7 linked regions of the Nothobranchius furzeri genome follow. The protein of the gene in region 6 binds, or shares a complex with, the protein of the main gene of each other region. Links are inferred from orthologs where the notes say so. Each region holds a gene or a part of one and is shown on either strand. Other genes may lie near its edges.

Region 1 (4,248 bases), on a different chromosome or scaffold from region 6:
TCTGCTGAACTTCAGATCACTGAGCCAGAAGGGCATGGAGCTTGCAGAGCAGCCCACCAGTTTCCATGCTCCTGTCCTGTCACCAGACAATGAGTCATACATAAGGGTTTGGATAAAAATAAATAAATAAATAAATCATGTGTCCCAAACTGCACCTGCACACATTTTCTAATGAATGGTTAAAAGCAATAAATCAGTGGAGAAAAACAAGTGATTCTGAAATGCACTGCCAAGTTCTTGCAACTTCGACATCTCATGGGGCTTAAAGGAGATGTACAGTTGGATGTCATCTGCATAAGATGGTTGGAGATTTCTTTGAAGGAGCTCAGGATGTGCTGAAGAGGGAGCAGATAGAGGAGGAAGAGTAGAGCGCCCAGCACAGAACCTTGTGGGACACCATGGGCGAGGGAGGTGGTGGAGGACCCAAACTTGGAGACGGCCACAGAGAAGCACCTAACCCTAACCCTAACCCTCAGACAGATAAGAGGAGAACCACTTCAGAGCAGATCCTGATATGCCTACCCAGTCTCTCAGCAAAGCTGCTGACACACAACCTTCTCCAGAAGTTTCAAATTGAAAAGGAGAATAGAGATTGGCCTGTAATTGTCTGCACAGAGACATCAGATTCTGGTTTCTTCAGGATCGGTTTACTGACTGCAGCTTTTAATGCAGTTGGAACCACTCCAGTGCTCAGGCTGCCGTTAATGATCAGACGCAGAGACTGACCCAAACACGGAAAGGCCTCCTTCCACAGACGAGGTGGCAAAACATCGAGTGGAGAGCTAGACGACTTCTGCCCTGAGACAAGCTTAGACAACTCAGAATAAGAGAGTATTAAAATAGCTCAGGGTGGACTGTATTGGAGTAACTGGATCAGGGTCTGTAGATGAACCAAAAATAGCAGCTCTAATGGCAGAGACTTTGCTAGTGAAAAAGTTGTGAAAGTCATCACATTCTCCAGCAGCAGTAGAAAAAATGATGCCAGAGTCCTGGTACACTGAGACAGAGTTAAGCGTTTTATGGAGAATTTTTGAATTGTTACAGTTTGTATCAATGATGTCAGCAAAATAGCCCGTTCTAGCGACCCTCACAGCATCAAGATCAAGATACTCTAAACATCTAATGGGAGACCTGTAGGTCTATGCCCGTTTATGTGCAGCCTACAGTTACAACAACCGGCGTACAATTTGAAAACAGATCAAGCGGGATTACTAGTAACTTTACAAGCCTACCTCATGGAATTCTATATTTAAATATATTTTAATTTATTTTGTTAAATTATATTTATATTTTAATTATCATGCCATATATTGTATCAGCTTTTGTGAAAAAGCTTGATAAAATGCGTTTTTTAGTTGGCTAAGCACCTTCCTAAGTAGAAATTAATGCAGTGGGGGCGAATGGAGACCCAACTAAGATGGCGGTCGGCCACTACGGCAGCCGTCCACGGGGCGTCTACGTATATATGACTGCGACCTCAGAGCCCATTGAGGCACTAGGCCAGTTAAAGCATCATGGCGGATGAAGTGGAGCAGGTTCGTTTGGTTGCCGTGTTTATACACTTTTGTTCGTTTTAGCGTCTGTGCAGTTGCTTGACTTCGTCGCGCATTATTAACTTTATGCATTTCTTTAATCTAAGGATACAAGCGTAGCATTTTGCTAATTGCTAACACGGTTTAATTGTGTTTAGGCCTGTGAAACCGGTTAGCCCACATTCACCTAGCGTTCAGCTCATCCTAAAATTATCAGTAAGCGCGTAAAAGTTACCAGATTCTCACAAATGAAAGATTAATGAATGACTTTTCCCGTTATGTTTGTCTAGCAAATTGGACAAATAATTAATATTGAGTTTTCTTTAACTATTGTGTTTAGTTATTAACTTTAGTAAGTAACGAGTCTCAACAAACTGTTTGGATCAAAGTTTATGATTTAAAATGAATATTTCTAAGCTGTAATGTGCAATTTAATTGAAAATAAAGATATTAGTGACAAAGATACCATAGTGTTAATAAGTCATGAGACGTTTAATTGGTTTGATCAGTACTTCTGCACACTCTCTTTACATTTCCTATCAGATGGTTTGTTTTCTAAGCCCTGGTCTTTAAAGGCAAGCCTTAACAAAGCTGTACAGACACAACAAAAATGAATAAATAACAATATAAAGACTCAGCTAAACAATGTTTGGATATTAGTGATGCATCGATATAAATTTTTGGACCGATACTGATATCCGATATTAAGATCACTGTTATGGCCGATAACCGATATTTGCCGATACCGATATACACTGACATTAATGCTTCCAAAATCTGCAGATTTTATATAGAATGAAAATTATTAAAGCTGGATTTACATTATTGTGTACACACAACACACACATTTACGCTTCTGAGGTGATTACAATCACTGTCACATGATTAAACAAATACACATCACCCCCCTCACCCTCTGAAACTGATAAACAAATGGAGACGAGATAGAAAAATTAATATCGGCCCGGTTTTATTTATGGGACCAATACCGATATGTTTAAAAATGACTAACATCGGCCGATACCGATATTGATGCCGATATATTGTCCATCCCTATTGGATATTTTTAATCTAGATTTTTAAAAACATTTCCGGTGAGTGTAAAAAAACCGACTAGTTTTGTTTTTAAATGTTTGCTATTTGATGAATATGCCAATAAAAAATGGAATCCGTACATTGATGATTATTTTAATGTGTTCCACAGCAACCACCTACCAACACGGTGGAGGAGCCTCTCGATTTGATCAGGCTCAGTCTGGATGAGCGGATCTACGTGAAGATGAGGAATGACCGGGAGCTCCGCGGTCGACTACATGTACGACACACACACACACACACACACACACACACGGTTCAGAAGATCCAGTTTTTTCACAATACTTGCTGATAAAACAGGTAAAAAAAATAAGACTGAAAATTCTAATGTCAGTAAAACAACTTAAAAGGTGAAACTAATCTATGAGACAGACTCATTCCACGCAAACCCAGATATTTCAGCCTTTATTTGTGATGATTATGGCATTCAGCTGATGAAAACCCCACATTCATAATCTCAGACAATTAGAATATTGTGTTCAGGTAAATATTCTAGTGTCAGACTTTTATCAGCTGATGAATCCAGAACACCTGCAGAGGGTTCCTGAGCCTGTAGATGGTCTCTCCATCTGAGCTTGATTACTGTCATAAATGGACTTTTGCACCATATTCTCTTTTGTCCAGTTTCACCTGTATGTCCTAACTAATGTTTGCCATCTGGTCCAGGCGTATGACCAACACTTAAATATGATCCTGGGGGATGTGGAGGAGACGGTGACAACAGTGGAGATTGATGAGGAGACGTATGAAGAACTTTATAAGGTCAGTTTTTATGAACAAACATAGAAAAACCTCTCTAGCCACATTTCTACTGAACAGCTTTTGTTTTGGACTCTTTGCTGTGTTTGCTTAGTGGCAAACTTGTGCCACTGTTGGGTGATGCTTAAAGATCCATCAGATGCAGAAACGTTAAACGATGTTAACTTGTCACTTTAACATAACGCTGAATAGATCTGCAGAAAGTAATAAAACAGAATTTTAAGATTCTACGAGGTTTCATTATTGTTCATGATCAGAAACTCAAGTTTTATTTAAATTTGACGGTACTTTAGTGAGTATTTAAATAAAATATCTGTTATTTAAATGTTTTTACTGTATTTGTTTCTTTAGTCTACCAAGAGGAACATCCCCATGTTGTTTGTCAGAGGAGACGGCGTTGTCCTCGTAGCTCCGCCTCTCCGAGTCGGCTAAGCCCCCCATGCCTGACAGGATGATGTAACTGCTTCTGGGAAGTGTCCATTTTTGTAGGAGAGTGTTATAAATCTTCATTTTCCTTATGCTAGACTGTTATTTCATCTTTAAATTTCATGTGAATCAGAGGCTCTTCTCTAGGGCAAAATGTCTGAGGGGGGAAAAACCCAGGAAGTATGATGTGAGGACACTTTTTTTTATTTTTTGACACATTCTGGGATTGTAAGAATCGGCCTCAGTAGATACTATTATTTTTAGTAGAAAAACATTTTTCTGAATCTTATCAGTTCCGATTGAGTCATTCCAGTGTTTATAAAGACTCGGGTCCCCTTGTGAGCGAAATGTTTGTTAAATTGCTCAACTTTTATGTTGATTTTTAGCTAAATGATTGCATTTGAGTCCCAGAACATTCTTTTTCTTTTACATGACG
Region 2 (3,984 bases), on a different chromosome or scaffold from region 6:
AAATTGTTGTTCTTCACGTTATCAAACTTAGACTTTGTACAGCTAATGTCAAGATGTAAAATTATGAATTCAGTCGAGCTCTTCCGTCACTCCCTCTCCTGCTCTCCTGGAAACCCGACATCGGCTGTTAGAAGCGGAGGTGAAGAAGGAGATGAGGCAAACAGAGTGAGTGCGACATAAAGAAACCAGACTGGTGTGGAGGTGAGCAAAACAGCTGGAAAAGTGTGGGCGTTGAATCCCCCACGGGTGCGATGTCCATGCGAGCGACCTGTACCTGCTGCTGTCACCTGGTTGTGAGCAGCCCTCTGCTGTCTGAGGGTAGGCCCCGCCCACAACGCTGCGGCTACTGCGGTGTTTTCTTTACTGTGGGAAACGGGTAATAATGGCTCTTTGATGGGAACAGGTTGCTGACCCCTGAGCTGGTAAAACAAAAATCCTCATCAGCAGGCTTTTTTGAAAGTGGGGGGGACACAGCTGCCAATCACAAATTTTGCCGGGGACATGTCCCCGGCGTCCCCGGTTAAACTGACGCCTATGTTTATTTTACGTAAAACTTCACACGGTCCCAGTTCAATTCAGTAACTTTATTTATTAATTCCCAATTCACAACAAAGTAAACATTCCAATTGAACCTAATAATTAGTGCAATTAATTTAGTTTACCACTGAGACTTGTTAAAAGTTTCCTATCAAAGGAAACCCAGCAGTAATTGTGACTTTGACACAATCATTTCCCCACGGAGGGACAATAAGGACATTTTCTATTCTATTCTAAAATATTTTGATTTTGTCATCATATAGTTCTTGGTTTCATTAAAATTCATCTGAAAGACCAATCAGTGGTACATCAATGACACATCTTTTATTCAGAGGAAGACTTCTTTTTGTCCCCCTTTCTCTATTTTTTGTTTGTTGACTTTGTACAGTTTAGAGCCTGTACTTTTTACTTTTTACTAAATAAAGACGGTCACTAAATACTTTTACTTTTACCAGAGCATTTTTATACAAAAATGTGTACTTGTACTTCATTAGAGAACGTCAGAACTTTTGCCATCTGGGTTTCGTGAGATTTAGCCATCGACATGTAAAAATATCGAATAACATCCAAATTGAATGATTTACACCAAGCCTCTAGAGGGCGCTGTTTACCTTTTGTGTCTGTTTCATTCCCTTTGACACCGGAAGAGGAAATTTCTGCCCACTTGTTGTGCGCTCGTGCTAGCCGTGCTTTTGTTACGTATGAAAAACGCTACTTTCTGTTTGTGAGTAAAAGTGGTTTAATGTTTGAAATTAGAACACGCTACTAATGTTCACAGCGTTTTAACAAAAGTACAGAGTGACGTCAGCTCTGTGAACTTCACTAGTGCGCGTGCTGGTTCACAGAGAGCGGTGAACCCCGGAGGAAAAGTGGCACCATGGCGGATGTTACTGCTCGTAACCTGCAGTATGAGTACAAAGCGGTAAGTATGTTGGGTGTAAATATAATAACTCGGGGTTATTAAACGTTTCTGTGACTAGTGATTTCTAATTATGATGTTTAGTGGATCGTGTTGCCGGAGCCGAAGCAGCTCAGCCCGCTGAACTGATGGGTCTCATTTAATTGTGTGTTTGTAGAACTCAAACTTGGTGCTGCAAGTCGATCGTTCTCTGATCGACCGCACTCGGAGAGATGAATCCACCGGGGAGGTGGTGTCCCTGGTGGGGAAAATGGAGGGGACGAAGATGGGTGACAAGGCTCAGAGGACCAAACCCCAGAAGCTCGAAGAGAGACGAGACAAGTCAGTGCAGCTAACACTGATGTTTTTAAAACCATTTACCTGTTAGAATCGAGGTACAGGTGGTGTTTTCGTGTGTATGATTCTTATACAATTTAAAACATTCTATAATTTACTTGAACGTTGAATAGATCACATTTAACATGAAATATACCTCAATTAGGACAGTAATAGAATTATTCAGATTTAAATGAAATGAAAAGAACCGTCTTTGACCTTCATCCTCCTTTAATTGTCATTAACAAACGTGTGAAGCATGTAATTGCACCATATACTTAAAAGGTGTAGTTTTGCTGTTTGAAGTGGGGTTTGATGTGGAACAGCTGCATATGTTTAATCTGTAGGAGACAGCAGATTGATTGCAGTTTAGAGGAAAAAAATCTGAACTATCCCGTTTTATCTCACAACAGGAGACGTAAAAGAGATGAGGACAGACATGATATCAACAAAATGAAAGGCTTTACCCTCCTGTCTGAGGGCATCGATGAGATGGTGGGCATTGTGTACAAGCCTAAAACCAAAGAAACCAGAGAGACGTACGAAGTGTTGCTGAGCTTCATTCATGCTGCGTTAGGAGACCAGGTTAGTGAACGTCACAACACTTAAGACTTTTGCACTGTTGATGGCGAACGCACAGCTGATGTGAACTCCAATTGTCTGCAGCCGCGTGATATTCTGTGTGGAGCAGCTGATGAGGTGTTAGCGGTGCTCAAGAACGACAAAATGAGGGACAAAGAAAGGCGTCGTGAAGTGGAACAGCTTCTTGGACCTTCTGATGACACGCGCTATCATGTGCTGGTCAATCTGGGAAAGAAGATCACAGACTATGGTGAAGACAAGGACCTGCAGAATATGGGTAAGCTACTTTAAAATATCTTAATAAAGTGTTTCGTTTATTTGGTGACCATGTTCTCTTTAAGCTGTTATCAAATCATCTAAATCTTTTGTTATTTATCTGCAGATGACAACATTGATGAGACGTACGGTGTCAATGTCCAGTTTGAGTCTGATGAAGAAGTACGTTTTAATTATTAATGTCTTAGTTGTATTTAAACTGATTAAAATGAAAAAGTGATTTTTTTTCCCCCCGTCTTGTTACTTATATAAAGGAAGGAGATGAAGACCAGTTTGGTGAAGTACGAGATGAGCACTCGGATGAAGACAGTGAAGGAGAGGAGGCTGTTGTGTCCACTAGGCTTACAACCAATGTAAGTACAGCCTTTTTGTTGGTTCAGGTGGTATTTCCACAGTTTTCTTCTCTCTGATTTAAAAATTGAATTCTGTTTTGTTGTAGCTTAGCGAAACGGGTGGCGTGATGACGGTGAAGAAAAAAGACCTGCACCCTCGAGACATTGACGCCTTTTGGCTCCAGCGTCAGCTCAGCCGCTTCTATGATGATGCTATTGTCTCGCAGAAGAAAGCCGACGAAGTCTTAGAAATCCTCAAGGTGGGATTTTCACTGTTTTTATTAGTCACGCAGCATAACGTAGCATCTTTTGACACCTGATGCCTTTCTTGTTCTACAGACCGCCAGCGACGACAGGGAATGTGAGAACCAGCTGGTGCTGCTTTTAGGCTTCAACACTTTTGATTTCATTAAAATCCTCCGTCAGCACCGTCGCATGAGTAAGTTGCGCTCGTTGAATTGCGCTGGGCTATGATGTTCTGTTGCACAACTTATTTGAAGTTGCTGGTTTTTATCTTGTCTGACTCACAGTTCAGTATTGTACCATGCTGGCGAGCGCTCAGAGCGAAGCAGAGAAGGAACGCATCATAGGAAAGATGGAGTCTGACCAAGAGCTGTCCAAGATCCTGTACCAGCTGCAAGAGACGGAGAAAGAGGACATTATTAGAGTAAGACATCTTGGTTTTGAACTGTTTGTCACCACTTTGCAAGAAATGATTTTCCATATTTTGTTTTTGTTATTCAGGAAGAGCGATCTCGCAGGGAGAGGGTGAGGAAGTCTCGTGTTGATGACTTGGAGTCAATGGACATTGGTCATGGAGAGGTAACTAGTGTGACATGGTCCAGGTAGCCGGGTAAAAGTGTGTGTGTGTTGAGAACATTTGTGTTTCTCATCCTACAGTCGGTAGTCCCTCGGCAGGTTCTGGACCTCGAAGACTTGACGTTCACTCAGGGTAGCCACTTCATGGCCAACAAACGTTGTCAGTTGCCCGATGGCTCTTTTCGTAAGCAGCGCAAAGGTTAT
Region 3 (4,028 bases), about 7.4 Mb from region 6:
TTGCAAACAGCCTCACCAAAATATCTTGACCTACTTGTGGTTTGCAACCCACCAACTGGTACACAGTCAGGGTTTATTAATAGTAGTCATGTGTGGGTCATGACCAAGCTAATTCAGTGTGCTGGCTTGTTCATGTCAATGACTGGAGCAAGCTCCATGCTGAGAGCCTTTATTGGTTATTGATTTTTTTCCCAATAACAATACTGAAACTCAAAAAATTAGAATATGGTGCAAAAGTTCACTTATTTCAATAATCCATCTTAGACTGAGAGACCATCTAAAGGCTCGGGAACCCTTTGCAGATGTTTTTGATTAATTAGCTGGTTAGAGTGCGACACTTTGAGTCTAGAGTATTGAACCTTCTCGCACGTTCTGTTTGTCTGAGATATTTAGTTTTAGATGTTTTCGTAAGCTGTAAGCCATAATCATCACACTTATAACAAATAAATGATGGAAATATCTGGTTTTGCATAGAATGAGTTTATCTCATGAATTTGTTTCACCTTTTAGGTTTTTATACTGAAATCAATAAACTTTTGAACCATGTTCAAATTTTTTGAGTTTCATCTGTATACATTTTATTTTAAAAAGGGTTTCATTGTGGGGCAGTTGGAAGCACTGGTGACTCACAGGAACAATGTCATAGGTTTAAACCTTGGCTACGGCCTTTCATTCTCTCCATGCATGTGTGGGTTTGCTCTGGGTACATGCTCCTCCAGCAGACCAAAAACATACAAGCTGATCGGCAACCCCAACTGTCTTTAGTTGTGAACTCAGTATTAGCATAGTTTTTAACACTGTTACATACTGTTTTGATTGTGAATTTAGCTAAATAATAAACGAAAAAGGCTGTTAGAGCGAGTTTCCCACTCGCTGATAACAAAAGTGTTATAGCGTTTTATTTAGAAAGAATTTACAGGCAGTTTTCTCTTCTCCATCTCCATCAACCAAAAGAAACAAAAATACAGATTATGATCCCCCCCCCCCCCCCCCCCCAGTTTCATTGCCATGAGACTAGAACGTTCCCTTCTAGCTTCTTAGAACCTGATTGTAGTTGCAGTTTATCCCCACTGGAGGGCGTAGATTTCTTCTGAGATTGTAGCCTGTAGCTATTAGCTAACGCACAATGCAGCTGAGAAAGATGAACGTTTTTCCCAGCCTGACAGCGTATTAAGACAATCACATGAGTGTGTATTTAACTCATTACGTTTTAGTAGAGATGGTAGTCCCGAGACTTTTACAAAAATCAATATTGTTTCATTTTACTTTTTATGGTCTACAGCTGGACCTCTCTGAACCCTCTGAACGCGTTATCTCATTGGATCACTATCATTTCCTAGGGTCTAAGATTTACTTCCGGGTCAGACAGTAAATATGGCGGTGAGTTCGTAATCCATGGCTTTCATTATATTGTGTTACTTTTTATCTTTTCACATCCACATTTGTATTGTTAAGATTTAGCTTTGTTTTCTGAACAAAAGTCGACTTGAACAACTTTTATTTTGCTGTGACGGTAGACGTTTTACTTAAATAACGTGGCTAGTAGTGAGCTAAGCTAAGGCTACGTTTTGTTTGTGATTAATTAGTGACTTAAGACAATGTAACCTGGCCTTTCTGCAGGATAAAGAAAAGAAAAAGAAGGAGAGCATCTTCGACTTGTCCAAGTATATCGACAAGACGATTCGGGTGAAGTTTCAAGGTGGACGAGAGGGTGGGTGGACCAAGCTGTTGCTAACCCTTTCATTTCGTGCAAGCAGTAAATGTCTAGATTTCCTTATGTGGAAGCCTAAAATTTGTGTTTTCTTCTCAGCAAGCGGCGTTTTGAAAGGATTTGATCCTCTGTTGAACCTGGTGCTGGACGGCACGATCGAATACATGCGTGGTAAGAAAACCAAAACTCAAATCCAGCCAGAAAACTGCTCCTCAGTCTGAGTCCATGTTTATATCGATGAAGGACTTTTCCTGAACACATTCCGAAGTTCCCCAACACACATAACTATAAAGTAATAATTCGCATTAATTTCGCCCCTACCGTCATCTTTAAAACGATCTACAGTTAGTGAAAATAAGCATGTTGATCAAAACATTATGTTCATGTTCAGAGCATGTTTAAGAGACATTTTTCTACTTCACTTTTTTGAGTTAATTTGTTTTTCAGTAAATTATCAGGAATACGTGTGTGTGTGCGTGCGTGCGTGCTAATCTTGTTTGACAATAAAAGCAACATAATTTTAGATTATCTTCAGTGGACGAACATTACATATAATTACATGTAGACAAAAACATGTTGCTGCTATGTTTAAAAGAAGAAAATTCACAGGCTCTAAATAATTCATTCTAAAACATCAAATAATCCGAGAGATTTTCTGGGCTTCAAATTGAAAAAAGGTTTCCAAATTTTCAAATCACGCCCTTGTATGTAAGATTAATTTTTCAGTTTCATAAAATTAAGAAAGTCTGTGTGTAAAAGCATCTGTGGAATTGTTTTCTTTTTGTACAAACAAACAGAAAACATTGTGTAGACACCTCTCTACTGGAACAGTGTGTTGTTTCCAGGTAAAGGTAAGTAGCTGGTTGTGTTTTTTGTGCTCTTACCCTGTAAGGTTACTCCACCTATCTCCTCTACCATCACTGTGGATTTGTTGAAAATGTGATGCTAGTTTGAACAAACACTGGAAAAATGCTCAAGTTTCTAATTCTCAGTTTAGTGTTTGGAGGGGAGGGTTGAGCTAATATTCAGAGGAGTCATGGAGGCCACTCGGGTGGAACAAAAACCAGAAACATGTGGGGGGAAATTAAATTGATTTAAAAATCCCCAAACAAAAGATGAGTGGCTTTTTTCAGTTTGAGGTTTGTTCTTTAGTGGTCGAAGCAGATTTTTAACAGTGATAACAAATCAAATGTTGTTGGTTTTTTATCGCTGTTACAAGTGGTCGTCTTGTGTGGACTTAACATCTTTGAAAAATACATCTGAACTGAAGATGGTCAAAACAAAAAAATCAAAGGTCTCACCATTCATGTTTTAGTTTTGAGTGCATTCCGGTAAAATGCTTGGTGGACACCCAGCTGCTTGACATTTCCAGTGTGAACGTTCTGTGGCTTTGTGTGCAGATCCAGACGACCAGCTGAAGCTGACAGAAGACACCCGACAGCTGGGGCTGGTGGTCTGCAGAGGAACCTCTGTGGTGCTGATCTGTCCTCAGGATGGCATGGAGGCCATTCCTAACCCATTCATCCAGCAGCAAGATGGATAACCCCCATGCTGCTGCGTGGCACACTTTTGATTAGACTTTTCTTTTTTAACATTACAGGACACTTGTCATTCAGACGACAAACATGTTTTAAGTTCATCACTGGTAAAATAAGGCTCCGTTGCACTTCAGTTTTATTTCCCTGCTAATTTTGCTCATTTTTGTGTTGTGAGGAGCTCCCAGTTCTGAAAGTGTTAAAACAAATTTCTTGTTATCTGAGTGAACTTTTTACTATTCTTTGTTTTTGATAAGAAAATAAAGTGGAAAAAAAGCTGAATCTGAATGTTTTTCTCCTTTGAACACAGAGGACGTGTTGGAAAGTTACACCAGATATGGTCTATTCGAAAGGGTGACAAGGATCTGAGTGGTTTTGTTGACCCGACAGACGTCCCCTACCTGCTGGTTGTGACTGACTCGATGGGTCTACAGACTACTGAACTCTGCAGTAAAAAAAAAGATGAGTGTGTTTAGGTTTAAAGGGAGTTTCTGTGTTTGAAGATAAACCGTTCAAGCTTGTCTGCACACTCACAAAGACACATATGTGGCATTAACAGCTTTTAAGTCAGTAATGCATTAAGCTGGGGTGGGGGTGTAAAGTAATGATATCTATGGATTGTTCCTTTTGAAAGAAAGGATCTTCAGTAGATTTTGGCGTTGGAGAAACGCAGAAACAAAATGCTGATGAGTTTTAAGTGAGATAACTGAAGCTGTTTTTTAAAATGGCAAAATTTTTACTTAACTGGATGTGAAACCTCCTAAAAGTAGGTTAGAATAGTG
Region 4 (3,638 bases), on a different chromosome or scaffold from region 6:
AGCAGCAAGGCACCAAGTTCATGTTAGCACGTTTACACACACCTGAGCTCTGAGTGTGTTACTCAGGTAAAAAGCATCCAGATCTGGTTTTGTGGGAGAAAAGTGGTTTGCCTGCAGGCTGAGCTAAAGGGAGGTGTGGCTGCTGTGATGTCACAAGAAAGCCTCTTTTTTATGTTTGTATGAATAAAATATTTGTTCTGAAAATATGCACTACTTTAGGACTTGGGTTTAATCATGCCACCAAATAAAAGGAAGTTTTGCTTCAGAGTCAGTTAGAAAATACCAAAATGCAAGTTACTGAAAGGAAAATAACGAATTTCACATTTTTGAGAGGAACTGAGATATTTCTGATGCAGTTTTTAAAGCTTGTAGCATCTTTGATTATTGTTGTTTCTTCCTATTCTGCCCATCACCGTTACTGAACATTAGATAATCAATTAGTATGGAGATCCAACCGGATGTGGGATCAGGTGAGCAGCTGCTGGAAACAACTGGAAAATTATCTGAGGTGGCAGCCAGAAGAGATGTTATATAACTCCGCACAAACAGCTAGAAATCAAAGACGGTTAAAATTAATATTTCCATCTGCATCAAATCCATCTCACCTGCAGTGAGCTGGACCATAACCCTCCATTCTAATGTTTTAGTAGGAATGCACCTTTATACCAGAGCTAGCCACAGTTAGCATGAAGCAGGTTCGTACCTGACAGCCTTTTTTATGGTGAAATCCAACAACCACGATGTGTAGCACCGGCCCCTTCCCTTCAGTTTCGCTGCCGTGAGACTCCATTTTCCCTCAGTCTTCTGTTCTGGAGGTCCGGTGGCGTTTGTGAACTCAGGGGGTTCGGATGTAAACACAGCGAACGGAGCCTAGTTTGAGCCCCGAATCTTTCCCACGCACACACACTCACGCGCGCGCGCACACACACACACACAGCGCTGCAGCTAGATTTCAACAAGATGTTTCCCTGTTCCTCACTTCCGTGTTTGCGTTACCGATTCTGTCAGATCCATCGGGGTCAGAGCACGGATTAGCTGTTAGCATTAGCTTTTAAATGAAAAACTGGTTCAAGTCGCATTTACACAATTTATAACAACCTGTTTCCAATGAATCTACTGACATATTTTCTTGCGAATATCTGATTTTGATCAAATCCTAAAATCAGTCAAGCATAACTTAACCAGAAACAGGAAGTAAACAAATAAACTCTCCATGCTGCAAAATCCATACTTAAGTCTTATACTCAAATATTTTTGCCTCTAAAGTGATTGTTGTTTTGGATGTTTTATTTATTATTTTTTGTGGGGGAATTTAAGTATATTTTTTTATCTATAGCATTCCAAAGTAAATCAGAGTTTGTCTATTCTTGCCTGAATTCGATTTGCTCTTGATTCGATTGGTTGTGACTGCTGCAGTCACACGAAGAAAGTCATGGCGGCTACTCAAGCGACAAACCCGTCACAATTGCTCCCTCTGGGTTCGTAAAATCTAATTTTGTTCCGTTCTTGCTTCAGATAGTTTCGCCTTTAGATACATTTCAATAAGAACCGAACAAGCAGTTCTAATTTAGTGAGTAGCAAACAGAAGTGAGCCGTTTTAGCGGTAAAATCACGCCGGTGTTACGTACAGATCTTTTCACCGAAGTAAACCGTGTCCCCGCTTCCTGACAAGATTTCTAGTCACAGGATTGTGTTCCTCCTGCTAAAATATATTATCTGTGGTGTACGGATTTAATTGTCAGTATGTGTAATTTGTGAAGTAAGCAGTTGCATGTATTTGATAAATTTAGGAACTCGTGGGGGTTATGCTTAGTTCAGCCATCTTTATTGCTTGCATTAATTTACTAATAAAAGTCAAATAAGGAACATTTTACCATTTAAAACATATTATAGCTTAAAGAAAAAGTTTTAAAGAAAACCCCCGGAGATTCTGGTTTAGATGGGGGACACATCTCGATGCAACACCAGCAGGTTTTAGCTAGCTGCAGATAAAGCAATAATTTCGTGTTCAAGCGTGAGTTTTTACCTAATTTATTTTAACAGAGGAGTATTTGTGGCAGTCTAAAAACTAAAAGAAGTGATTGTGTCCTATTTTACAGCAGTTATGACCTGAAAAAGTCAAACCAGCTCGGGTGCCTTAATGAGGATGGCGTGCTGATTGTACACCTGTCCGTGTCTGAACATGAGCAAAAGCTGAGCTGCAGCAGTCATAATAATACTCCTGAACTTATTGTGTTATTTAAATTCAAAGTAGTCACACCCGTGAACAACTTTCGTTGACAACTGACAAGAAAATTCATTTCGTCCATCGACATATATTCAGTTAGATTTAGTCATATTCTTCTGCCACCTACTGGCCAATTAGTGTATGTGCAGTACAAACCTCAACAGTATTTCCCTTAAGAAAAAATGATTTTTAGTAGTTGGTCCTGATTGGTTTTAGATGCTAAACATCACATTAGTTATTTAGAAAATTGTTAAAATCAAACTGAAAACTGTAGAAAATAACCTAACCTGTTATATTTTCAGAGCTTGTGGACAAATGTATCGGCTCTCGAATTCACATCGTCATGAAAACCGACAAAGAAATCGTCGGCACCCTGCTGGGGTTCGATGACTTTGTCAGTATCCTTCCTTAAAAGCTGCTGATCAGCTGTAGTGCGTGATTCAGAGGTGACATGTTCAGATTTGGTCCTCAACTGTGTGTTTCAGACATGGTGCTGGAGGATGTGACAGAATTGTAAGTGTACGTTGTTTTATTAACCGGTGTCTGCCTCATTCATCCTGCTCATCTCCTGGTGTTTCTTCCAGCGAGATCACACCAGAAGGACGGAGAATAACCAAACTGGATCAGATCCTCCTCAATGGAAACAACATCACCATGGTAGGACACAAACGGCTTCGGTCTCTCTCAAACATCACTCAGCTGGATGATTCATGTCGGGTTCATTTCTCCTGCAGCTCATTCCTGGAGGAGAAGGACCAGAAGTGTAAATCCTGTTTTGTGTCTTTTGTTTATTCTCTCCAGGTTTTTGGAGCATATTTTTGTAACATTCTTTGTTCAGTTTTTAGTAAAAGAAGCAGGTCTCACGTGGGAATTAAGATGTCTTTGTTGCAAATAAATCTGTTTGAAAAACATCCTTGTTTCATTTATTTATCATAAAAAGTAAATTTAGTGCAAACATTGGGACAAAATGAAGTGTTACCATCAGAAACCAGTGATAAAATCCAGCATCCAGTCTTTGTTGGACTGTAAAGCTAAATGAGAAGTTTCACTTTTGACTCATGAACAAAAAACGTGGAACCGATCTAGAGCTGAAACAACTAATCGACTTAATCGATTATAATCGATTATTAAAATAGTTAACAACTTTTTTAGTCATCGATTAGTTGTTTAATAATCATATTTTACCGCATAAAGTCTATTTTTTACCACAATCAGACATCGGTTACAAGCTGTTAAATTTGCCGCCAGTGTGTGGCAGTAATGAGCCACTGATCTACCAGTGGAGCCGTAGAAGAAGAAATGAGCCAATGGGTGCCCTCGGTTTTCATGACGTATCACGTTACTGACGCTCATCTTGCTGTGAGAGATGGCGGAACAAGAGGAAATACGGAAGAAAAATAGAAGCGACAAA
Region 5 (4,229 bases), on a different chromosome or scaffold from region 6:
AATGGCTAACAGAAGCAGCACGATGCTGTTACAAGCAAGCCGATTTGTCATTTATTACTTGGGCTCAATCCATCGTGGGGGGTTTCGTGCTAAAAGACATTTCAGCCATCCAGGTAACAATTTCTTCTATTCTTTCTTATCCTGGCATGATCTGACGATTCTTACTGAGGGAAACACGCAATTCACGTATCTATTATCCTAGGTGACATATTCAAAGGTTTTTTTAATACACAAAATAAAGAATAGTGGTAAACTCGTGTATAGATCTATTGAGAAACTCGCAACAAATGCAATTACAAATATTTTGAAAGATAATTAAAATATCTATTAAGAACTTGATGAAATAGCATTTGATTCAAACTTTATTTATTGAAATACAGCAAGGCAACAGCACTACCACTGTGCCAACATGCAGCCAAAGCATAACAGATTCAAGTAAAATTTAAAATGTAGTATGTATAAAAATGAGTGAAATTAACATGTGAACTGATATGATATCCATAATGTTACACCTACTCCTACCCTAGGATCCACCCATCCCTTCCTCTATTCCACTGCATCTCTTTGTGCACTTCCATCTATGTTGCACTCTGATTCATTTCTACACTATTTTCGCATACTCCTCTGTCGGAGCCTAGTGTTCTTTCCTCTAATCAGTTTATCGTTAGAATCAGATGCAAGTACTGTTACATCCTTGTTTATAGATCGTTTTGGACAAAAGCATCTGCCAAATACATTAGCACAATGCCCTTTTTGATATCTGGAGCTCAATACAGATAAATGCAAAAGCTGAAGTAGAAAAATGTAATTTGAAAAAATCCTTAATGCTGTTGTTGGTAGACAGAAACCATTGCTAGACATCTGACTTTTTCTCTTTGTCTGAGAAGAATTAATTTTGATGTATATCTGAAAGTGATAAACATCCCAGCCATTAAATGTTCAAATGACCGTTTGGAATCAAAAGCATTTTTAAATACTCTAAACCTGGGGGTTTCCAATTGAAATATCAATTACAGTATTAAAATGTGTTTTTACTGATCAGAATGCACTTCTAGATATTATTTCAGTTACGATAAGTAAGAAATACATTTTGATAATGGGAATTATTATAACTTTATCTAAAATTTTAAGTGAATGGAAATGTTTTGCTTCATTAAATGCTATCACGGCTTGCTAAATACAGCAGGTTGCAGGCTGCAACCTTTGCTAAGCTAACAAGCTAAAGTAAAGGAACTGCGCCAAAATAGAGGAGATAGTAAATCGCTGTGTTGCACTTCGTGTACTTTTTGTAAAGTATCAAACAATTTTCCTAAAACATTTAAAAGCGTTTGTTTGTCAGTTAATGTCCGGTTGTTAAAGCCCCAGCCAGCAGGGGGCGATATACAACCAGGGCGAGCAAAGTTTTTTCTACCACTTGACTTCCGGAAACGAATTCGTTGTCGTTGTATGTTCGTTTCGTCGAAGTAGCAAACTTAAAACGTGGTTGTTAGTATTTATGCTGGTGCGAGGTGCTACAAATAAACAAACCAACGAAACTCCACGTATTTTCCACCGATGCTGGATATCGAAAATATGATGCAGTTTTCCCCGAAATGAGTGAGTTTTGACGTGGCTAACCCTTTAGCTTTTGAAGCTAACTCGACCTAGTTGGGAGAAAAGTTCGCGACATTTACCACATCAATACAGCTGAAGAGACTGCGTACGCAGCTTGACTGTGACGGAACTACGACTCTGGAGTTGTAAACAGCGGACGAAATCATGGGTTCTTCAAAGAAACACAAGGAAAAGAGTCGCGATAAGGACGCAGAAGAGCGCCGTCGTGAACATAAGAAGCATCGGCACAAAGAACGAGAGAGAGACAGAGATGCCTCAGATCGGGATGGAACTCGAGAAAAACGAAAACGCTCCAGGTCCAGGGAAAGGAGCAGACGGGATAGTCGCAGCAAAGGGGAAAAAAGCAGTGGCGAGACTCGTATAAAGAGGGAGAAATTGGATCCTGGCTATGAGGAAGGCAGTGCAGAAATACAGCCTCAGAGTGCAAGTGGAGATGCTTCCCTCAGCGTCGAGGAAACGAACAAACTCCGAGCCAAGCTGGGTTTAAAGCCTCTGGAACTCAATGAGAACAAGAAAGAACTTGGAACCAAAGAGGAGCCACTGGTGGCTGAGACCATCAACCCTGTTCTCATCCAGCAGCAGAAAGAGATGAGGGAGAAGCTTGCAGCTATGAAAGAAAAACGTCTCCTCAATCAGAAACTGGGCAAAGTCAAAAACCTTGCAGATGATGATTGGCTCGATGACACAGCCGCTTGGATTGAAAGAAGCAGAAAGCTGGCACAAGAGAAAGAAATGGCAGAGAAAAGAGCCAAACTTCTGGAAGAGATGGATGAGGAGTTTGGTGTCAGCAATCTGGTTGAAGAGGAGTTTGCTCAAAGTAAATTGGATTCTTATTCTTCACGGGATCTCAAAGGCCTCAAAGTGCAGCACAAGGTTGATTCCTTCAAGGAGGGCCACACTGTCATTCTGACCCTGCAAGACAAAGGTGTCCTGGAAGAAGAGGAGGATGTGCTTGTGAACGTGGGACTGGTGGACAAGGAAAAAGCAGAAAAGAATGTGGAGTTGAAAAAGAAAAAGCCTGACTACAAGCCCTACGAAGAAGAGGAGAGTGTGGATGACATGGTCACCTTTAAGCCCCGCACTGTACTTTCAAAATACGATGAAGAAATTGAAGGTGAAAAGAAAAAGAGCTTTCGTTTGAGCACATGGGGATTTGCTGATGGGGAGCGAGAACGGGAGCTGCAGGCTATGAAAGAAACGCTGCAAAACCAGGCCCAGTCTTTGGAAATGCCTGCTCTTGCTATCGCTTCGGAGTATTACACGCCTCAGGAAATGGTTGGCTTTAAAAAGACAAAACGCCGTGTGAAGAAAATCAGGAAGAAGGAGAAGCAGACAATTGCAGATGAGCTCCTTGATGACACTCGCAGCTCTGACTTTGGCTCCCGAGCACGAGGTCGGGGCCGCAAACAGGACAACGAAGAGGAGAATACAGGCAAGGGCGAGCGTTGGCCACATGAAATCCCCCAAATGTCTGATGACATCAGGACGGCAGAAATGGAAATGAGTGATGAAGAAAACTTCACGCCTCCTGAGCCAGCTGTAATTGAGGAGGATGAGGCAGAGCAGGAGCTGCAGAAACAACTGGAGAAACAGAGGAAGCTGAGGCAGAAGCAGCTTCTCAAAGACTCCGGGGAGAAGGTGGCAGAGCAGATCAGACGGTTTGTTAAAGGCGGTGACGAAAATGATCCTGACAAGAGGAATAACATTGTCTTCAATGCCACCTCTGAGTTCTGCAGAACTCTGGGTGATATTCCAACGTATGGACTGTCTGGAAACAGGGAAGACCAGGAGGATATCATGGACTTTGAACAGGAAGAAGAGAAAGATGATGCTGGAGATTCAGACTCCGAAATGGATGAAAATATTGGGTGGAGCACAGTTAACCTGGATGAGGAGCAAAATCATGCTGAATTTTCCACAGCCTCTGCCACTATCCTGGATGAGGAACCCATCGTGAACTCTGGCCTTGCTGCTGCTTTACTGCTGTGCAAAAATAAAGGGCTGCTGGACACGCAAATGCAAAAGGTGGCTCGTGTCAAAGCAACAAAGGGGTCCCTGCCTAATGACAACTACTGCATCGAGGACAAGATGGGCTTTGATGATAAGTACAGTCGCCGGGAAGAATACAGAGGCTTCACGCAGGATTTCAAGGAAAAGGATGGATATAAACCCGACGTCAAAATTGAGTATGTGGATGAGTCTGGGCGCAGACTCACCCCAAAAGAGGCATTCAGGCAGCTTTCGCATCGTTTCCACGGCAAAGGTTCTGGAAAGATGAAAACTGAAAGGAGGATGAAAAAGCTGGAGGAGGAAGCGCTGCTGAAGAAGATGAGCAGCAGCGATACACCTCTGGGGACGGTGGCTTTGCTTCAAGAGAAACAGAAATCTCAGAAAACGCCGTACATCGTCCTCAGTGGCAGTGGGAAGAGCATGAATGCAAACACCATCACTAAATAAATATGTAGGGGAAAATGATTATTGTTGTAGCTCTTTTGAGATTATTGCTAGTTTATGGTCTTGCTTCAGTGTTGATATAACAATAGTATAAGAAAATCAGTACAGGTGTAAACTATTTCATTTGTCTTGTGAATTTCCTAAAAGAACAATAATTTAAA
Region 6 (4,249 bases):
ATGCCGTCTTATAAAGGTTTAAACAGAAATATTCAGGAAGTGAGTCCTGTTGGCTGTCGCTCTACTGCTTCACCAGCTGTGGTTATAAAGAAAATCTTTCAGATAACAAAGCTGGAAGTAAACTACAGAAATGAGGAAAAAGCCAGTTAAAATATCTACTAAACTAAATTTGGGCCTCGACTTTTCTACACCAATAAAAAGGATTTAAAAAAATCAAACTAAAGTATTATCTGGCAACAATCGGTTGTTGTAAACATCACAACAGAGAGAAACAGCAGAGTTGATGTCATTGTTACTGAGGCAGACGTCCCTCAACAGGAAGTGTTTAAAACAAACGAAGCATCATTGTGTGTCAGTGCTGGTTTTTCATCCCCTGTGGTTTTCCTGCTTTCTTATCCTGCTGCTGCTGCTGTCCTCGACCAGGCCCAGACATCCCTCTCCCACGACCACCAAACACACCTACAGGAACAGCTGTGTTCAGTCCAACAAATCAATTCTACATGAGTTCAAAACCAACCTGATCAAACGGCATCCTTCACCTCGGCCGGGCCCTCCTCTTCCTTTGCCCTGTTGTTTATTCTGCTGAGAGCCGCCGCGACCTCGTCCTTTCGACACCACCTCCTCCCTCACCATGTCAATGATCTCATCTGGGATACGCAGATATTTGATGGTGCTTCCTCGGATGTAGCACTCAGGCATCCTCCAGAATTTATCTCCATCCTGTAAAAAGATGGTGAGAGTTTCTGTTTAAATTAAATTCCTCAATTAATAACACTTCTATTTTGCATTTATGTTAATTTACCTAAAGTCTAGCACAATAAACCCGACTGAGGGGATAATAGGCAAATGATCATGTTTAGTTGTGATCACCCATCTTTCTTTTGTTTACATGTACAAAAACACCACAAAGCTGCACAATTTAAAAATTATTACAGTCACTGATGGTCCAGTTAGCGCACTGTGTCTGTTCTTACAGTCACTATGAATCAATCATTGTATCTCAGCTGTTGTCTGAAGCTGTTCTGATAGTTTCAGTGCAGGATTCTGCAGACTTCTCAGTTCACATAGGCAGGCTGTCCTTCACAACACAGTTGTGCAAATATACTGTACATACAAATGTCTCATGAGAGACCAAATATGAAAGCACATTAAGCAAATTAAAATATTTTGGTATTTTCCCTTTGTCAAAAGGTCACATTTTATTAAAGGGAGAAGCATGTTTCACCCTGGATGTGCAGATGACTTCTCTCAGGTTGATGTTCATCCAGTTGTCACAGCTGACCAGGTGACCGTTGTAGGTCTCTCCATTCTTCAGCTCCACCAGCTAATAAAGAGCACACTGCTTTATAAGCTAAAAATCATACAATGAGCAAGTTCTAATAACAGATCAGACAAACTAAACTAAAGTCAAGAACAAAAAATTAGCTCTAATCATTAGCTAATTAGAGTGTGACTCTTTGAGGCTAGAATATGAACCTTTTCACAATATTCTAGTTGTCTGATATTTTGAATGTGGGGTTTTGATAAGCTGTAAGGCAAAATCATAACAAATATAACAGATAAAGGCCGAAACATCTGGCTTTGCATGTAATGAGTCCATCTCATACATTAGTTTCACTTTTTAGTTCAATCACTGAAATAAACGACCTTTTGCACCATACTGTATTTTTTTTAAGTTTCACTTGTAATTTACTAAAGCAGGTTATTATTTACATAGAGAACAGATGCTTCTTCACATAACTAATGACACAGCCTAAAGGATACAATATTGTAAAGAATATCAGACTTAAAATCAAGGTTTTGCCTCACCATGGGATGATTCTGAGCGGTCTTTAAGAGTGACAGGGGAAGCTGAAAATAAAACACCAGATTGAAATCTAATTTAACAGAATAGACCTCATTTACAGCATTATTTCTGACGCATAATAAACCGCATGAAACCAAGAATCCAGAGTCTACTGGAGAGCAACCACCCGATCAGAGGCTCTTCACCACCAACATCAACAGTTTTACCTTCAGACAGGAGGCACACACTTTCCCACAGCCACCAGACTTCTGAACAGCTGAGCTCCTGACGCTTAATTTCTACTTGGTACATTAACATTTCAGTCTGATTATTAACCTGTTTACTTTGTACCTTTATCTGATACTGGGATTATAATCCGCCTTTAACTAACTGATACACGTTCCAGCTAATGTGGGACATTACTTGCACAAATGTGTGCAACAACTCTGCATAGTTTCTTTGCAGTTCATATTTTGATTAATTTACTGTATTTTGCATGCTTCTTTAACTTTTTAAAATCTAGTTTTTACACCCAAACGTATACATTTGGCATCCAGTGTGAGGAACAAGGTAATTTTTGCTGTTCTTATGAGAATATAGAGTAATTCACCCCGAACCCATAAAACTACAGAATTAAATCAGGTCATTTAAACACGTTTATAACACAACAACACTTCTGAAGTTGTGGTAGGTCTACTGGCTCCTGAATAAAGCTAAATGTTACGGTTTATTTTAGCTACATGCTTAGCATCTTAAAGCTTTCACTTCGGTATAATTTATTAAAAATGTTAACACGGTTTCCGTCAGCCGAACCAAAGATGACCTATTAAAGAATACATTCTCAACTACCCACAACTAGAGGTTAGATACTCACCATTATGACGGTTTATAGCTTGTTTTACGCGGCGAACCTAAGGCTGTGGCGAATGGTCGAATCCAGCTTTCTTCTTCTTCTGGCGGTCGAATCCAGCCTGGGGAAAGGATTTCCTTTTAGCCTTCTGCGTTTTCTTATTCTACTACAAACGGCGGCTTCACCACAGCACACTGCCCCCTAGCGTCGAAACCTGCACTTTCTCTCCGCGCGTTTTATTTTGTGGCCACACTGAGACCACTGTTTAAACTTAAAAGTGTCTGAATAGATCATTTTCTTAATTATGAGAACAAACAAGAGTCTTCCGAAGGAGTAGTTTGAAACCAGCAGAAAATATAAACAGTGCTAAAGTTTCATTGGTAAGTCACTTTGATCAGAAAAGCTTTTTTACAGTAATTTATAACACATAATTATGAACACACTCCATATTTTAATCAGTTAGAACGTGATGAGAATAAATGAGCTCAATAAGTAAAAAATTTTTTGTTGATACTTCATAATTTATTTATTGGTGAAGATATTATGTGATGCTGTTAATTGTATAGGCCTGACCGCAGTAAAAGGCTGCAGCAGTCTTACTAAAGCCATAGCTTTCATAAAAATTATATCAAATTATTTGTCTTCAAGAGTGAATTTTGCATAAAAAGACAAACATCTTCAAATGGGAGGACATGGCCATTGCAAAGTGGTAAATTTTGAAATTGCCCCATTATACTAAATGTTAAGAGTAATAAACCATTAGAGGTGTCAGTTAAAGATTAAATGCACCATAACGTCTATAACTAACAATGCACATTCTTGGCAGGTTGTCCTGCACAGATCCTTGGTGCTATATTTTGTTAATGTTGTAAAGTTTATAATCTGAGTTATTTGTGCACTTGTAAAGAATGAGTCGTTTCCATCTTACTTATGAACCATAAAATGTGAGATTCCATAGAAATATGAAATATCAATCTGATGGATCTTTGACTACATTTTTTTTTCAAAAAGTATATTTTATTAAATTTTCTGTGTACACCTTTTACACAGTATTATGTTGTATATTGAAAGTACATTCTGTATAAAATCATCAGGGAACAACAGAACAGTAGAACAATATAACAATTTTGGTTGTGCTTCGGCTTTTGGCGATCCTCTCCAACGTAAGAGCATATATAGTACTGAAGGCAATATGCACATAGACATGTTTAACAAAACTGTGAGCAAGAAGTCCCCGAATTACACCTCGCTTTTGCTTCTCCCATTCCAGTCTTAATGCTGGTCAGAAGACCGAGTATTTTCCTATACTCTCCCACTTTATAAGTCCTCAGATTTTTATGTCCATCTTCTTAATATATGTTAGAAAAGGTGTCCATATTTTGTCAAATAAGTGTTGCTTGGCTTTTAAGATATAAGTAATCCATTCCAGCGGCATTACCTGTAACATCTGTTTCATCCAGTTCTTCACATTGGGTCTATGGAGAGATTTCCATGCCATAGCTATATACTTTGTTGCTACTGTAGAGGGTCTGCCCTCATGAGAAATTGCTACTCAGTATTTTCTCCAAAAGACTGTGTCATTTGCTCTGAAAAGCTGGAATATGTTCCAGCGC
Region 7 (4,107 bases), on a different chromosome or scaffold from region 6:
TAAAGACTCACAAGGACATAAAACACACTGATGGGAGGAAATGCAGTTTGAATTAAGCTTCATATTTAAATCTGTCCTTGTACATGTGAACCACCTAGCATCTAATCCATCTGACGGTCAATTTTCTTCCCTAACATCCTCTCCCACGGGTAAAATAACACCATCCCTTCAGGCGATGTAAATGAAGAAAGATGTAGAGGCTGGATCCCAGGCTAGGAGTGAAGACGGCTGAAGTTAATGCGATTGAAACTAATTGATGAATGGTTTCACATCATCTCATGAGATAGATCCCAAAAATGTCATGTTAGCATGTAATTACTTATTGCACTCTGGCATCTCTGTTTGAGTGTAGGTTTCTGAACCTGAAATGTCAGATGAGTTATTGATGTAGCATGTTGGCATGTGTCTAATGGGAATTAATGGAAATCATCACAAATGCATGGCTCATTTGACCTAAAACTATGTACATTACAAGCAATATAATATATGTGCAGTCAGACAGGCAAGGAGTGAAAATATTGTATTCAATTTTCAAACAGCATAAAAAATGATGTATTTCTTTCAATTTGGCAACCTAATTATCTGTGGGATCAAATGTCATCTGAGTCATCCTTGTCTTAATTAGGGCTGCAGGTCCATTAGTTGTTTCTGTAAACAATGTCTAGGTAATAATTTTTTACTAAACAAACTAGAGAGGAAATGACAACAGTATGTATGAGTATTTATCTTACTCTACCCTACCTCCACTTCAAACTCTAACCCAGGACTGCCAACGTAGGAGTGAGACAGCTTTTCTTTTTTTTTTTTTTTTTTTTTTTTTTAATGAACCAGATACTGATGAGGCATTCTGCATTAGGCCAGTCAAAAATGACCGTTCTCAGTTTTGCACAACTTGAGGTGGTTCATTTAGGATGGATGAAGATACTATGATTTATCTAGTTTTTCTTTTTATATCTTAAAATTGAGTATAAATAAATATCACGTGTGTGTGTGTGTGTGTGTGTGTGTGTGTGTGTGTGTGTGTGTGTGTGTTTATGTTGTATATAAACATTGTATATATGCATGTATATAAGTATATATTTTTCCCTCATTGTACTATTTTAGACAATTGTGTTTTGGTGTTTAGAGTAGCATATCCTAAAAGATAAATACTATTTACTCAGTTTAACTTTATTCCATCTAATTGTATTTTTATTTTATTTTCTACAGTTTGGCGCACCCGTGTGGCAAACTTTAGCGGTCAATCAATCAGCCCGTCCTGTTGGGGGCGCTGTAACAGAAAACAAGAAAAAGGAAGGAGTCGAGAGCGGAAGTTAAACTGTTGTTCATCTGCTAGTGAGTGTGCACGTCGTTGCAGCAACGATGGCTACCTCTGGAGCAAAACAAACACCTAAACTTGTCTCCAAAACCAGCGCGGGGGGCACAGGGGCGAGTGGCGCGCCCCCTGTAATACCTCTTGCCTCTCCGCTTATGGGGAAAAAGAAGAAGCCGTTTCTGGGGATGCCCGCTCCGCTAGGTTACGTTCCTGGTCTCGGCAGAGGGTAAGCTAATTTGATGCTAAGTCGTTAGCTCCTCCAGTTGCGTGTTTGTTGACAACTTGAATTGTCCACCTTCTGCATGCAGTGTCAAATAAAACAACATTTTAAATACATTATAACAATGGTTTGTGCTGTTTGCAACAAAGGACAAATCTCCGATCTTAAGGGTTATGTTGCGGTTTCAGTGCCACAGGATTCACCACCCGGTCCGACATCGGTCCTGCTCGGGATGCCAACGACCCCGTGGATGATCGGCATGCTCCCCCAGGGAAGAGGACGGTTGGTGACCAGATGAAGAAGAATCAGGATGATGATGACGAAGATCTAAACGACACCAACTATGACGAGGTCTCAATAACTAAATGCTTTTGTTGGCATTTAATACTTCAGTGCATCCAGTCAATAACTCCTGTTTGCTCCTTGTACAGTTTAATGGTTACGCTGGCAGCTTGTTCTCCAGTGGGCCTTATGAAAAGGACGATGAAGAAGCAGATGCTATATATGCGGCACTTGACAAGAGAATGGATGAACGGCGCAAAGAAAGAAGGTAAACTATAAAACTAATCTACCTCTTGACCAAAAAAGACCAAACACCTACAAAATAAGTGCACAGAGCATCCCTTTTTCATCCCTGTGTTGATTTAATGTGTTTCTGATACTGTCTGTGGTTGCTCGTAGGGAGCTGAGAGAAAAGGAAGAAATAGAAAAATATCGTATGGAGCGTCCTAAAATCCAACAGCAGTTCTCAGATCTGAAGGTAAGTTTTCCACATTTATTCTATTGTATTCACGATGCCATTATTTTTAGGTATCTATCTTTAATGCATTTTGTGCAGGTTAACAGCTGACTCTGCATACTGATTTGTTTGCATTCATGTTTTTGTGCTTTTAAACAAATTTGTGATCTTATTTGCCATTTGTGAAATGGTAATGCAAAGGCACATGAAATTACAATTATTAATCTCTCTTAGGATCAGACACGCATCTCTGTTTTATCATTTAATTACAGAGAAAACTAGCAGAGGTGTCGGAGGAGGAGTGGCTGAGCATCCCTGAAGTTGGAGATGCCAGGAACAAGCGACAGAGGAATCCTCGCTTTGAGAAGCTCACCCCGGTCCCTGACAGCTTCTTCTCTAAACACCTGCAGACCGGAGAAAACCACACATCTGTTGATCCGTTACAAGGGGTTAGTAGTCATGAAAACACACTACAAGCAGGTCACCGAACATTTGTTGTAGTTTCACCTTGCCCCAGCAGGAGTCAGAATAACTGTTCAGAGATGTGCAGCCATGCATTATATTGTCAGTAAATATCTGCTTAAGAGCATCAACCTCATGTTTAAACTTGAAACTATTCATTTATCTACTTGATTTCATGCATGCAATGTTTAAATACTTTAACTGGAAACAGCAGTGTTTACTTAGACAGAGCTGGCTCCATGTTTAGTTCTGCAGAATATAAAGCATCTTTTACGTGTGTCAGTTATAGCTGTGAGAAAGGATTCAGCTTTCTTTAGCTGTTCACACACGCTGTAACACAATTCCTGCTTTCTGTCTTGGTAGCTGGGCGGTCTGAACACACCATACCCAGGCAGCATGACTCCTGGAACTGGAGACTTGGATATGAGGAAAATCGGTCAAGCCAGAAACACTCTCATGGATATGAGGCTCAGTCAGGTAGACCTATCTAAATCCTGAGCTTCTTTCACATTTATCAAGATTTTACCTGTTTTTATTGTTTTTCTCTCCACTAAGGTGTCTGATTCAGTCAGTGGACAGACAGTGGTGGATCCTAAGGGTTACCTGACAGATCTCAACTCCATGATCCCCACTTATGGAGGAGACATCAGGTATAGAAAAGTTGCCCATAGGAAAATTTCCTTTTGAAATAACTTCTTATGTGTGTTTGATGAATTACACCTAAATCTCACCCAGCGACATCAAGAAGGCTCGCCTGCTGTTGAAATCTGTGAGAGAGACTAATCCCCATCACCCGCCGGCCTGGATTGCTTCTGCCAGGCTTGAAGAGGTGACGGGCAAGCTGCAGGTCGCCAGGAACTTGATCATGAAGGGCACAGAGATGTGTCCTAAGGTAAAAGGGGTGTCTGCTTTGGTTCCATGCACAAAGGCTAGATGCTGATAACCTTCAATAACAAAATATCTCTCTCTTAACCAGAGTGAGGACGTGTGGCTAGAGGCAGCAAGGCTCCAACCTGGTGATACGGCTAAAGCTGTGGTTGCTCAGGCTGTTCGCCACCTCCCACAGTCTGTCCGCATCTACATCAGGGCTGCTGAGCTCGAAACAGACATCCGTGCTAAGAAGAGGGTCCTCAGAAAGGGTAAGGCTTTTAATTTTGCTTTCTCTGTCTGCAACTATCATCAGAAGCTTCTCACTGCTTTGTGGTTATAAACGGAGGTTCACGTTCCTTCCCAGCAGCTCGTGTGTGAATGAGTTTGATTCTGCTGCGAAAAGGACGACACTCATTTCTCCAGGGCTGAAATTCAAAGCCAGTCTCAATCTGTTGATTGTCTCATGAAATCACCCTCACAAAGCTATCGGAGTTACACTTG

The links.
Region 1: lsm4 (region 6) and lsm3 share a complex: the UniProt entries of both Homo sapiens proteins name them as parts of the precatalytic spliceosome. The link is inferred for Nothobranchius furzeri from reciprocal best matches to the Homo sapiens genes LSM4 and LSM3.
Region 2: lsm4 (region 6) and snrnp200 share a complex: the UniProt entries of both Homo sapiens proteins name them as parts of the U4/U6-U5 tri-snRNP complex. The link is inferred for Nothobranchius furzeri from reciprocal best matches to the Homo sapiens genes LSM4 and SNRNP200.
Region 3: lsm4 (region 6) and lsm7 share a complex: the UniProt entries of both Homo sapiens proteins name them as parts of the precatalytic spliceosome. The link is inferred for Nothobranchius furzeri from reciprocal best matches to the Homo sapiens genes LSM4 and LSM7.
Region 4: lsm4 (region 6) and lsm5 share a complex: the UniProt entries of both Homo sapiens proteins name them as parts of the precatalytic spliceosome. The link is inferred for Nothobranchius furzeri from reciprocal best matches to the Homo sapiens genes LSM4 and LSM5.
Region 5: lsm4 (region 6) and sart1 share a complex: the UniProt entries of both Homo sapiens proteins name them as parts of the U4/U6-U5 tri-snRNP complex. The link is inferred for Nothobranchius furzeri from reciprocal best matches to the Homo sapiens genes LSM4 and SART1.
Region 7: lsm4 (region 6) and prpf6 share a complex: the UniProt entries of both Homo sapiens proteins name them as parts of the U4/U6-U5 tri-snRNP complex. The link is inferred for Nothobranchius furzeri from reciprocal best matches to the Homo sapiens genes LSM4 and PRPF6.

What each region holds. Positions count from the first base shown.
Region 1 is NC_091743.1:73,197,565-73,201,812, reverse strand, and holds the start of lsm3 (U6 snRNA-associated Sm-like protein LSm3), read left to right. Parts: upstream 1-1,448; 5' UTR 1,449-1,514; coding exon 1,515-1,535; intron 1,536-2,736; coding exon 2,737-2,847; intron 2,848-3,293; coding exon 3,294-3,389; intron 3,390-3,737; coding exon 3,738-3,818; 3' UTR 3,819-4,248. UniProt on the Homo sapiens protein: Plays a role in pre-mRNA splicing as component of the U4/U6-U5 tri-snRNP complex that is involved in spliceosome assembly, and as component of the precatalytic spliceosome (spliceosome B complex).
Region 2 is NC_091757.1:37,093,686-37,097,669, forward strand, and holds the start of snrnp200 (U5 small nuclear ribonucleoprotein 200 kDa helicase), read left to right. Parts: upstream 1-1,184; 5' UTR 1,185-1,414; coding exon 1,415-1,459; intron 1,460-1,613; coding exon 1,614-1,777; intron 1,778-2,184; coding exon 2,185-2,356; intron 2,357-2,437; coding exon 2,438-2,630; intron 2,631-2,735; coding exon 2,736-2,791; intron 2,792-2,883; coding exon 2,884-2,982; intron 2,983-3,068; coding exon 3,069-3,221; intron 3,222-3,300; coding exon 3,301-3,400; intron 3,401-3,491; coding exon 3,492-3,628; intron 3,629-3,705; coding exon 3,706-3,783; intron 3,784-3,861; coding exon 3,862-3,984. UniProt on the Homo sapiens protein: Catalyzes the ATP-dependent unwinding of U4/U6 RNA duplices, an essential step in the assembly of a catalytically active spliceosome. Plays a role in pre-mRNA splicing as a core component of precatalytic, catalytic and postcatalytic spliceosomal complexes.
Region 3 is NC_091748.1:58,320,411-58,324,438, reverse strand, and holds lsm7 (U6 snRNA-associated Sm-like protein LSm7), read left to right. Parts: upstream 1-1,270; 5' UTR 1,271-1,374; coding exon 1,375-1,380; intron 1,381-1,620; coding exon 1,621-1,711; intron 1,712-1,810; coding exon 1,811-1,882; intron 1,883-3,111; coding exon 3,112-3,254; 3' UTR 3,255-3,528; downstream 3,529-4,028. UniProt on the Homo sapiens protein: Plays a role in pre-mRNA splicing as component of the U4/U6-U5 tri-snRNP complex that is involved in spliceosome assembly, and as component of the precatalytic spliceosome (spliceosome B complex).
Region 4 is NC_091747.1:62,679,562-62,683,199, forward strand, and holds lsm5 (U6 snRNA-associated Sm-like protein LSm5), read left to right. Parts: upstream 1-1,354; 5' UTR 1,355-1,432; coding exon 1,433-1,478; intron 1,479-2,529; coding exon 2,530-2,625; intron 2,626-2,712; coding exon 2,713-2,740; intron 2,741-2,811; coding exon 2,812-2,884; intron 2,885-2,961; coding exon 2,962-2,994; 3' UTR 2,995-3,138; downstream 3,139-3,638. Other genes in the region: late secretory pathway protein AVL9 homolog, read right to left, coding at 704-790. UniProt on the Homo sapiens protein: Plays a role in pre-mRNA splicing as component of the U4/U6-U5 tri-snRNP complex that is involved in spliceosome assembly, and as component of the precatalytic spliceosome (spliceosome B complex).
Region 5 is NC_091744.1:19,554,474-19,558,702, forward strand, and holds the start of sart1 (U4/U6.U5 tri-snRNP-associated protein 1), read left to right. Parts: upstream 1-1,429; 5' UTR 1,430-1,758; coding exon 1,759-4,071; 3' UTR 4,072-4,229. UniProt on the Homo sapiens protein: Plays a role in mRNA splicing as a component of the U4/U6-U5 tri-snRNP, one of the building blocks of the spliceosome. May also bind to DNA.
Region 6 is NC_091748.1:65,762,208-65,766,456, forward strand, and holds the start of lsm4 (U6 snRNA-associated Sm-like protein LSm4), read right to left. Parts: upstream 2,801-4,249; 5' UTR 2,664-2,800; coding exon 2,661-2,663; intron 1,852-2,660; coding exon 1,810-1,851; intron 1,325-1,809; coding exon 1,226-1,324; intron 721-1,225; coding exon 540-720; intron 460-539; coding exon 353-459; 3' UTR 1-352. UniProt on the Homo sapiens protein: Plays a role in pre-mRNA splicing as component of the U4/U6-U5 tri-snRNP complex that is involved in spliceosome assembly, and as component of the precatalytic spliceosome (spliceosome B complex).
Region 7 is NC_091755.1:59,889,708-59,893,814, forward strand, and holds the start of prpf6 (pre-mRNA-processing factor 6), read left to right. Parts: upstream 1-1,307; 5' UTR 1,308-1,362; coding exon 1,363-1,541; intron 1,542-1,723; coding exon 1,724-1,886; intron 1,887-1,966; coding exon 1,967-2,085; intron 2,086-2,216; coding exon 2,217-2,295; intron 2,296-2,546; coding exon 2,547-2,723; intron 2,724-3,099; coding exon 3,100-3,213; intron 3,214-3,291; coding exon 3,292-3,386; intron 3,387-3,471; coding exon 3,472-3,628; intron 3,629-3,712; coding exon 3,713-3,875; intron 3,876-4,107. UniProt on the Homo sapiens protein: Involved in pre-mRNA splicing as component of the U4/U6-U5 tri-snRNP complex, one of the building blocks of the spliceosome.